2 linked regions of the Struthio camelus genome follow. The protein of the gene in region 1 interacts with the protein of each later gene in a pairwise test. Links are inferred from orthologs where the notes say so. Each region holds a gene or a part of one and is shown on either strand. Other genes may lie near its edges.

The links.
Region 2: the proteins of NUDT18 (region 1) and NADK interact in a two-hybrid assay, tested with the Homo sapiens proteins (2 studies listed by BioGRID and IntAct). The two-hybrid records come from large-scale screens. The link is inferred for Struthio camelus from reciprocal best matches to the Homo sapiens genes NUDT18 and NADK.

Annotation. Positions count from the first base shown.
Region 1 is NC_090968.1:5,558,125-5,562,031, reverse strand, and holds the start of NUDT18 (8-oxo-dGDP phosphatase NUDT18), read right to left. Parts: upstream 2,914-3,907; 5' UTR 2,798-2,913; intron 1,430-2,797; 5' UTR 1,190-1,429; coding exon 1,034-1,189; intron 932-1,033; coding exon 718-931; intron 509-717; coding exon 1-508. UniProt on the Homo sapiens protein: Mediates the hydrolysis of oxidized nucleoside diphosphate derivatives. Hydrolyzes 8-oxo-7,8-dihydroguanine (8-oxo-Gua)-containing deoxyribo- and ribonucleoside diphosphates to the monophosphates. Hydrolyzes 8-oxo-dGDP and 8-oxo-GDP with the same efficiencies.
Region 2 is NC_090962.1:3,140,991-3,144,897, reverse strand, and holds the start of NADK (NAD kinase), read right to left. Parts: upstream 3,141-3,907; 5' UTR 2,899-3,140; intron 270-2,898; exon of another isoform or gene 92-269; intron 1-91.

The sequences.
Region 1 (3,907 bases):
CAGCGGAAAGCGGGGCTGCGCAGCTCGGGGGGGCCGGCGCCGGGGCGGCCGGCCGCCACGCTCAGCAGGGCGTTGAAGCAAACGCCGTCCGCGCCGGCAGCCCGGTGCTGCAGCCCCAGCAGCCCCAGGAGCGCGGGACTCGGCGCGGCCGGCGGCAGGCAGTCCCGCAGCAGCCGGAGCACCGGCGCGCGCAGCCCGCCGCGCGGCTCGGAGGCAGCCGTGCCGCAGGCCGTCACGGGCAGGTGGGGGGTCCCGGCCGTGCTCAGCAGCACCCACAGGTCCCCAGTGTCGCTGGCGAAGGCCACGAGGAGCCGCAAGCAGATGAGGGCGCAGGGCAGCTCCTGGGGCAGGGTGGCGGGATGCGAGGGGCTGCGGCGGTAGCGGGCGGCGAGCTCCAGCAAGGGCAGGATGTCGGGGGCTCGCAGGGGCAGAGCGGACGGCTCCCCGGCCCACCACGTGGCCTGCAGGGACTCGGCGTCAGCGTCCTGCAGCGTCTTCAGGGTCCCACCTGCAGGGAGAGAGGCAGCGATACCCCATCGCGGGGCTGGCAGGGGGCACCGATACCCCGTCACAGCACTGGCGGGGATGCTAATACCCTGTCACAACACTGGCAGGTGACACCAATATGCCATCATGGTGCTGGCAGGGGACACGCCACGCGCGAGCATGAGCCTGCTGCTTGCTAGGGCCGAGCACACGCACCCCAAAAGGACATACCGGTGGGGCGCGCGAGGAAGACGAAGCGGATCCAGGCCGGCCCTCGCTCCTCCAGCACCAGCAGGGTGAGCGGCTCGCACTCCAGCCCCGTCTCCTCCCGCACCTCCCGCCGCACGGCCGCCGCGATGCTCTCGCCGGGCTCCATCCTGCCGGCGGGCAGGTACCACTTGCCCCGGCACTCGGGCTTGGCCTCCTGCATCAGCAGCACCTCGTCCTGTGGAGGGAGGGAGGGAGGGAGCAGGACGCACGCCCCCCTCGCGCTGCCTCAGTTTCCCCGGGCGCGGGGCTGGCGCCGCTCCCGCCGCAGGGCTCTCACCCGCTCGTTGAAGAGCACCGCCAGGACGACGTAGCAGGCGTTCCTGCGCAGCCGCGCGGGGCCGGCGGGCTGCGGGCAGCAGTCGTACCTCTCGGCCACGTCCCAGCCTCCGCCGCTCAGCACGGCCTCCAGCTCCGCCGCCGGCGCCTCCCCCATGGCGCTCCGGCCCGGCGACGCTGCCGGGAGCCCCCTGGCCTGGCTCACGGGGCCGCCAGGGTCAGGGGTGGCGAGTGCACCCGCAGGGCATGCAGGCGGGGTGCGACGGCGGTGGCCCGGGGGGCGCACGGAGACCAAGGGGAGCCCCGGAGCGGCACCTCGCTGGGCTGCAGGGTGCAGTAAGGGAAGGGGTCCCTCGGCGAGGTGCAATACGGGACGGGGTCGCCAGGCTGCAGGGAGCTACAGGGAAAGGGCTTGCTAGATTGGGGGATGCACACTGGCCTGAAATACGGGAAGGGTGTGCTGGACTGCAAGGTGGAGGGAGTGAGGTAGTAGGGGAAGAGCTCGCCAGCCTTCGCGATGCATGGAGGGGTGCAATACGGGAAGGGCTGGCTCGACTGCGGGATGCCCAGGGGAGCGCAGTAGGGGAAGGGCTGGCTGGACTGCAGGCCGTACGGAGGGAAGTAGTACGGGAAGGGGTCAGCAGGCTTTGGGATGCACGGAGGGGCACGATACAGGAAAGGCTTGCTGGACTGGGGGATGCAGGGGGGCGGGCAGTAGGGGAAGGGCTCGCTAGACTGAAGGCCATATAGAGGGCTATAAGGAAAGAGTTCACTAGACTTTGGGATGCATGGAGGGGCGTGATAGGGGAAGGGCTGGCTCGACTGCAGGATACATGGGAAGCTGTAATAAGAGAAAGGTTTGCTCGACTGGAAGATGTAGGGAGGAAGGGGTTTGCTAGGCTGGGGGACGTAGGGGGGATAGGGTTTGCTAGACTGGAAAATATAGGGCGGAAAGGTTTGGCTAGACTGGGGGATGCCTGGGGGGGTGTAGGAATGGAAGGGCTCGCCAGGCGGTGGGGTGCACGGAGGGCTGTAACTAGGGAAGGAATCGCCAGCTTGTGGGGGCCAGGGTTGGCTGGACTGCAGGGTGCAATAGGGGAAGGGCTGGCCAGAGCGTGGGGTGCCTGGGGAGAAGGGTTTGGGGGAATGTGGGGTGTGGGGGGGCGTGCTGGGTTGCAGGATGCAGTAGGGGAAGGGTTTGCTAGACTGCAGGGTACAAAAGGGGAAGGGTGTGCTGGACTGCAGGGTGCTAAGGGGTGTGCTAGGCTGCAGGGTGCAAGGGGGAAAGGGCTCGCTGCACTGCAGGGTGGAAGAGGAGAGGGGTTTGCTAGGGCACAGGGTGCAGAGTGAGGCGCAGCGGGAGAGGGCTTGCTGGGCTGCAGGGTGCAGTAGGGGAGGGCTTTGGGGGTCTGCAGGGCGAGAGAGGGGAAGGGTTTGCAGGACTGCAGGGTGCAAGGGGGGAGAGGGAGGGTGCACTAGGGGAAGGGCTGGGGGACTGCAGGGTGCATGGAGAGGGTGCAATGGGGAAGGGCTCGGGGACTGCGGGGTGCACAGGGAGGGTGCAATAGGGGAAGGGCTCGGGGGAATGCAGGGGGGACAGGGAGGTGCAAGAGGGGAAGAGCTCGGGGGTGCGAGGTGCAGCAGGGGAAGGGCTCGGGGTGCAGGGTGCAACGGGGAGGGCTCGCGGGCCGCCTGCAGCCCCCCCTCCCCCTCGGGGCTCCGCCGCGCGCATGCGCCGGGGCAGCGCGCACCGCCCCCGACTCACCGCGCGTCCCGGGACTCCGCCGCGCGCGCCGTCGCCTGGCCGCCCGCTCGCCCCTCTCGCCGCCTATTGGCCGCTCCGAGCGCCGAGCTCCTTTTCCATTGGGCAGTGCCGCCGTCACTCCTCCCTCAGGGCGACAGGGCGGGGCCTAGGCCTTAAGGGGGCCGGAGGTGGGTTGGACGTGGTTGGCGGTGCGTATTGCGCATGCGTGGCGCCGCATGTTGCAGGGTGCATTGGCGCCTATTGCGCAGTGCGTGGCGTCATCCGTTGCGCGGCGGCATGCGCTGCGCGCTGCATGGTGCGTGTTGCATGCTGCACGGCGCACCGTGCCTGCGGCCTCGGGCGCAGTGCGCAGTATGCAGGGCGCAGGGATGCAGCTGGGTGCCTGGGCACCATGCACGCTCCACGCTGTCCCTGTTGTCATCGGGGCAGCGCAGGGCACCTCCAGGCGATGGTCCTTGGGGTTGCTGCACACAGCAGGGCGCTTCCCCCCCCTCCCCGTGTCGCAGTGCTCCATGCTGCGGAGGAGCTGCAGCGTTGCTGGTGCTGCCAGCATCCTCGAGCACCCCTGGAGCCAGCCCGGTGGTGCCTGCAGCACCCAGCCCTGCTGTGACAGTGCTCCTGAGCCAGCTCCCTCTGCTGCTCGTGGCCCACTTTGTCATGCTGCTGCAAGCCAACTGCCAGCAGCGGCAGTGCCAGGAGCTCATCTGGCTCCCGCCATGCTGAAATCCCCGGTGAGGGCTGTGTCCTCTCTCTGCCACCTGGGAAACCCCAAGGGAGCAGCAGCCCTGGCCAGACCCCAGCATCTGCACACCCCTGCGGCCGGCCACCGCTGCCCGCTGCCCCCGAGGCCCTGGCTCAGGCTGCCCTTGGTTCTCCCTTGGAAAGGGGAGCCAAAGAGAAAAAAGAGGGGATGCAGGATGAGAGAACTGCAGGAAGGGAAGAGAGACGCATCATGCTGGAGATGCACAAGGCCCTGGGGCTGGGGCAGAGCTGGGTTTTGTCCTCTCACCAGTCCTTTGTGCTGCCTTCCCTGTGGGCCACCACGGCAGGGGCAGGACTTGGCTGCTCCCTGGCACCCCAAACCTCTGGGCAGCCTCGGAGCGGTCCCAG
Region 2 (3,907 bases), on another chromosome or scaffold:
CTGGTTGTTTCTAAACTAGGTACAAAAATAAAGTCATTTAAACGCCTAAGTTTCAGAAAACAAGCGACTTTACACATGAGATATTCAATACCTCTGACTGGCAAGGCCCCTTCAGCATCCGTGTGCAACTGTAGAAGGTCTTATATTGTTTGTTTGTTAATTCATCTTCTAAATTAAGTCACTGCTTTTATTTTAGAGATCCTAGACTTGAACAAGCATTTAATTTTTTTTTCCTCACATGCAAACTGGATTTTTAATTAATAGTTTTCCTGGTAAAATACAAAAAGAACCAAAATTCTAAGTTCTGAAAATTAAATAAGAGGATTTTATCCAACAGATTTTTAAAGGACAGACATAAAGGAAGTTAAAAAATTAGATACTCATTCACCTTCCATTTGTACCTAACTCACACCTGAATTGCATGTACCATCAAAACACATAAGCCTATCAACAACATACCTAAAAAAACTAGTGCCTTAATTTATGCCTGTATATCCAAAGATTATTCTTTATAACCGGAAATCATCAAGACAAGTAGAACATTGTGTTTGATGTGTCCATCTTATAGGGCCCACACAAACCTCTCCAGTATCTTAATACACCTAGACTTCTGTGTTCTTCATCACCCATCTTTCTGATTTTTAAGGAATTAACAGATCTGTCTGTAAGTCTTTACTGGACTACTATGTTCTTAGCTAACACTAGCCAAAACTAGTATACTTATAGCAAGTCAAAGTTAATGCCTATGAGTTAATACATTCCATTCTGTAAAATTATCAAAAAAAAAAAAAAAAGGTGGAGATAATTCTTCACCAGCTGAAGAGGCCATCCCCTCATGCATAATCAGAATAAGAAAAAAATATATATACTGGAAAAGGTGGGGGAAGGGGCAGATAAAAACAACCACTGCAGCTCACTGTGTCTTATTATCCAACTTAGAAACCAGGTATTTGGAAAAAGAAAAAAACCAACCAAACAAAACAAAAACCTTATCAACACAACATCCAGGAATGGACCCAAAAACTTTAGACACACGTCAAAAAAACAAGTGAAGAGGCTGCTCCTGTCTAAGTCATGACCAAAAGTTAACAACAACAGGATTTAAAAGTTTAGCGTTACAGAATGAAGAAGAGTTGAGAAAGACTAACGCTTTCATATTAAACTTCCACGATAGTGTCCCAAAGTAGCAAGTCGAGTCACCTCTCTCATACGTATCCACCTTTTTATTGTAGTATCACATCTTCTGCTTCTTAATCATTATAAATGAACACTCCTATGAATCAATGTTTCACAGAGGCTTCAAATCATCCCTATACGGAAGGAAACAACATAACATCCCAGAAGTTCTACTATCGCGTTTAGACCATGATTATGAATTTATATTGTCAGGTCTACCTTTGATAATCTTTTTCTCCTCTGATCACACTGAATGATAAAAAGAAATATGATCTTCCAATGGAAGCAGTTACACAAGGAGCATAATGCTGCAAGTAAGAGCATTTAAGGAGTTTAAATCATTTTTGATGAGCAGGCTTTTAAGCAGTTATTTTGTAACAAAGCTTCCTCTCTGTCAAATGCATGTTCCCAATTCACTATGATTAGAGGATTACTGCAGAGTCCATCCTGACCAAATACACACACTGCATTTAACATGCCTTTAAGATTGCCGCTATTCCACTAATTTCTTCAAAATTAAGAAAATTTTCAAAACTCTTCATTTTGCAACTTATCAACAATGTATTAGAGCAGAAGAGGACAATGTTACATGCAGAAACTGTACCAGTTGCTCTATTGCCACAGACTCCTGTTCATTTGTTCTATATGGTATTCACTTCATTCTGCTAACAATTTTTTTTTTAAACTATACTTTACTCAAGAAAGTACTCCAATAGAGCACACATGCATATAACTCCATCCACAAGGCCCTAAAGCTTCTCTCACCAAAAAAGCAGCAACAACTGTATCAGGCAGACAAGACTTTGTTGTAGTTTAGAACTTTGTGTTGCAGTGTGTCTGAAGCAAAAAAAAAAAAAAACCAAACAAACAACAAAAAACACCACATTGAAGTCTAGCTGTTTGACACCAGCTGAATTTCTGTGGCATCTTTTTTGATTACATACTTACAAAATACTGAAGTGCTATTTCTACTAAAAAACAAAACAGATAGCATGCCTATCACGTGTTAAATGCCCAGGGAAAACAAATCCCTGTGTTAACCCTTCCGCTACAGAAATATCAACACAACAGGCACCTATGTTTAACATACTATAACCCCAGGGAACAGATATTAATAACCAAAAACTCAGACTCCTAGATATATCCCTATCCGTGTTAGTCTGGAACGAAGATGTCAAAGAAACAAAAAATGAACTGGGCTGCATATTTGATGTGTAGTCAGCAGATCACGTGCCAAATTAAGTTGTTCTACCCATTATCCTTTCGAGAAACTATCCTCCTACCTCACTGCCCCTTATCGCTCACGTTACTAGGGCGCGTCTACAGCTTACTCCGGTTGAACTGTTCTCCCGGGTTTGCAAGAAGTTACCCGCGAGTCCGTTTGTCCCAAAGGAAGACAGCCCGCAGGCTCACCAACAGCTCTCTCAGGTTCCCGAGAGCCGCCGGATACGATCTGCCCTCCGGCGCGGGCAAAGAAGCCGCACCAGGCCAGCTCCCGCGAGCGGCGGCAGCAGTCCGGGAGGCAGGCGCCGCCGCGGCTCCCCGCCCGCCCCCGCGCTGGCGCTCGGGCCACGAGCACCCGGCCGGCCCCGGCACGGCCGCTCCGCACCCGGCCCCAGCGCCGCGGGATGCTGCGCAGCCCCCGCAGGAGGCCGCTCCGGACTCCCCTCGCAGGAGCCGCCCCCCACCTCTGCCTCAGGGCCCAGGCGGCCCCCGACTCACCGCGCCACGGGCTGCTTCAGGGCCGGGCGAAGCCTCCCGCCCCTGCGCCTTCAGAGGCCGGCGCGCCAACCCCGACGGTGGTGGTGGTGGCGGCGGCAGCGTCTGCTCCCGTGCAGTGAGCGGAGCCGGCGGACCCTGCGCGCCTCCATCGTCCTCTCCCCGCCTCCTCAGGAGAGTCGGCCCCAGAGGCGGGGCAGCGCGCATGCGCGAGCGAACGGCCCTCCAGGGCCGGGACGGCCCTCCGTCTGAACGCCTGCGCAGCCCGCCCTTCCGGAGCCCCGGCGGGCGTCGCTGCACGCCTGCGCCAACTCGGCCGGCCGCTAGGGCAAAGGGGCGCGTCACTGCGCATGGGCGGGCTACGCCCGCAGGAGAGGGGGGCGGTGGGGTGCGGCCTTGCTTGGAGGGCCCCAAGAACCCTTCTGCCCTAAAAGGTTGTCACTGCGCGCTTAAGATGGGGCCTGCTGAACAGGGCAACATTCAGGCCTGCCTCAGCCATCTAGGTTTGCAGCTCTCCAAACCAGTGGATCCTACTGTCGGCAAGCAGAGTAGCTGTCCTATATGGTGATGAACCCATGTGGAGGGGCCAATACGTTTCTTTCATTTTCACTACCCGATAAATGACTTCCTTGTTAGTTTGAATTGGAAAAATATCTGTAACGAATTAGTCTCCACAAAGGCTGCAAAAAGCAGAAGGGACCAAATGTTAAGAAATAGGCATGACACCTGAATGTCAGCTGCAAAATCCGTCATACCATCATTGACCGAGTGATGTTTCTATTAAGGATGATTAATTAAATCCTCAAATTAAACTGTCAACTTCTCAAGGCAAAGTTTTGCACTGCTCTGTTTTTGGTTTATGTATAATAATGCTCTCACCTCTGCAGTCATTTCTAAGCTAACCAATCACAAGTTATAACACATTTTAGATCTGTCCCAGATGTATCTGGGATGCAATGAACATCATTTAAATATTTTCTGCTATAAAATTCCTGTTTGGGAATGCATGTCA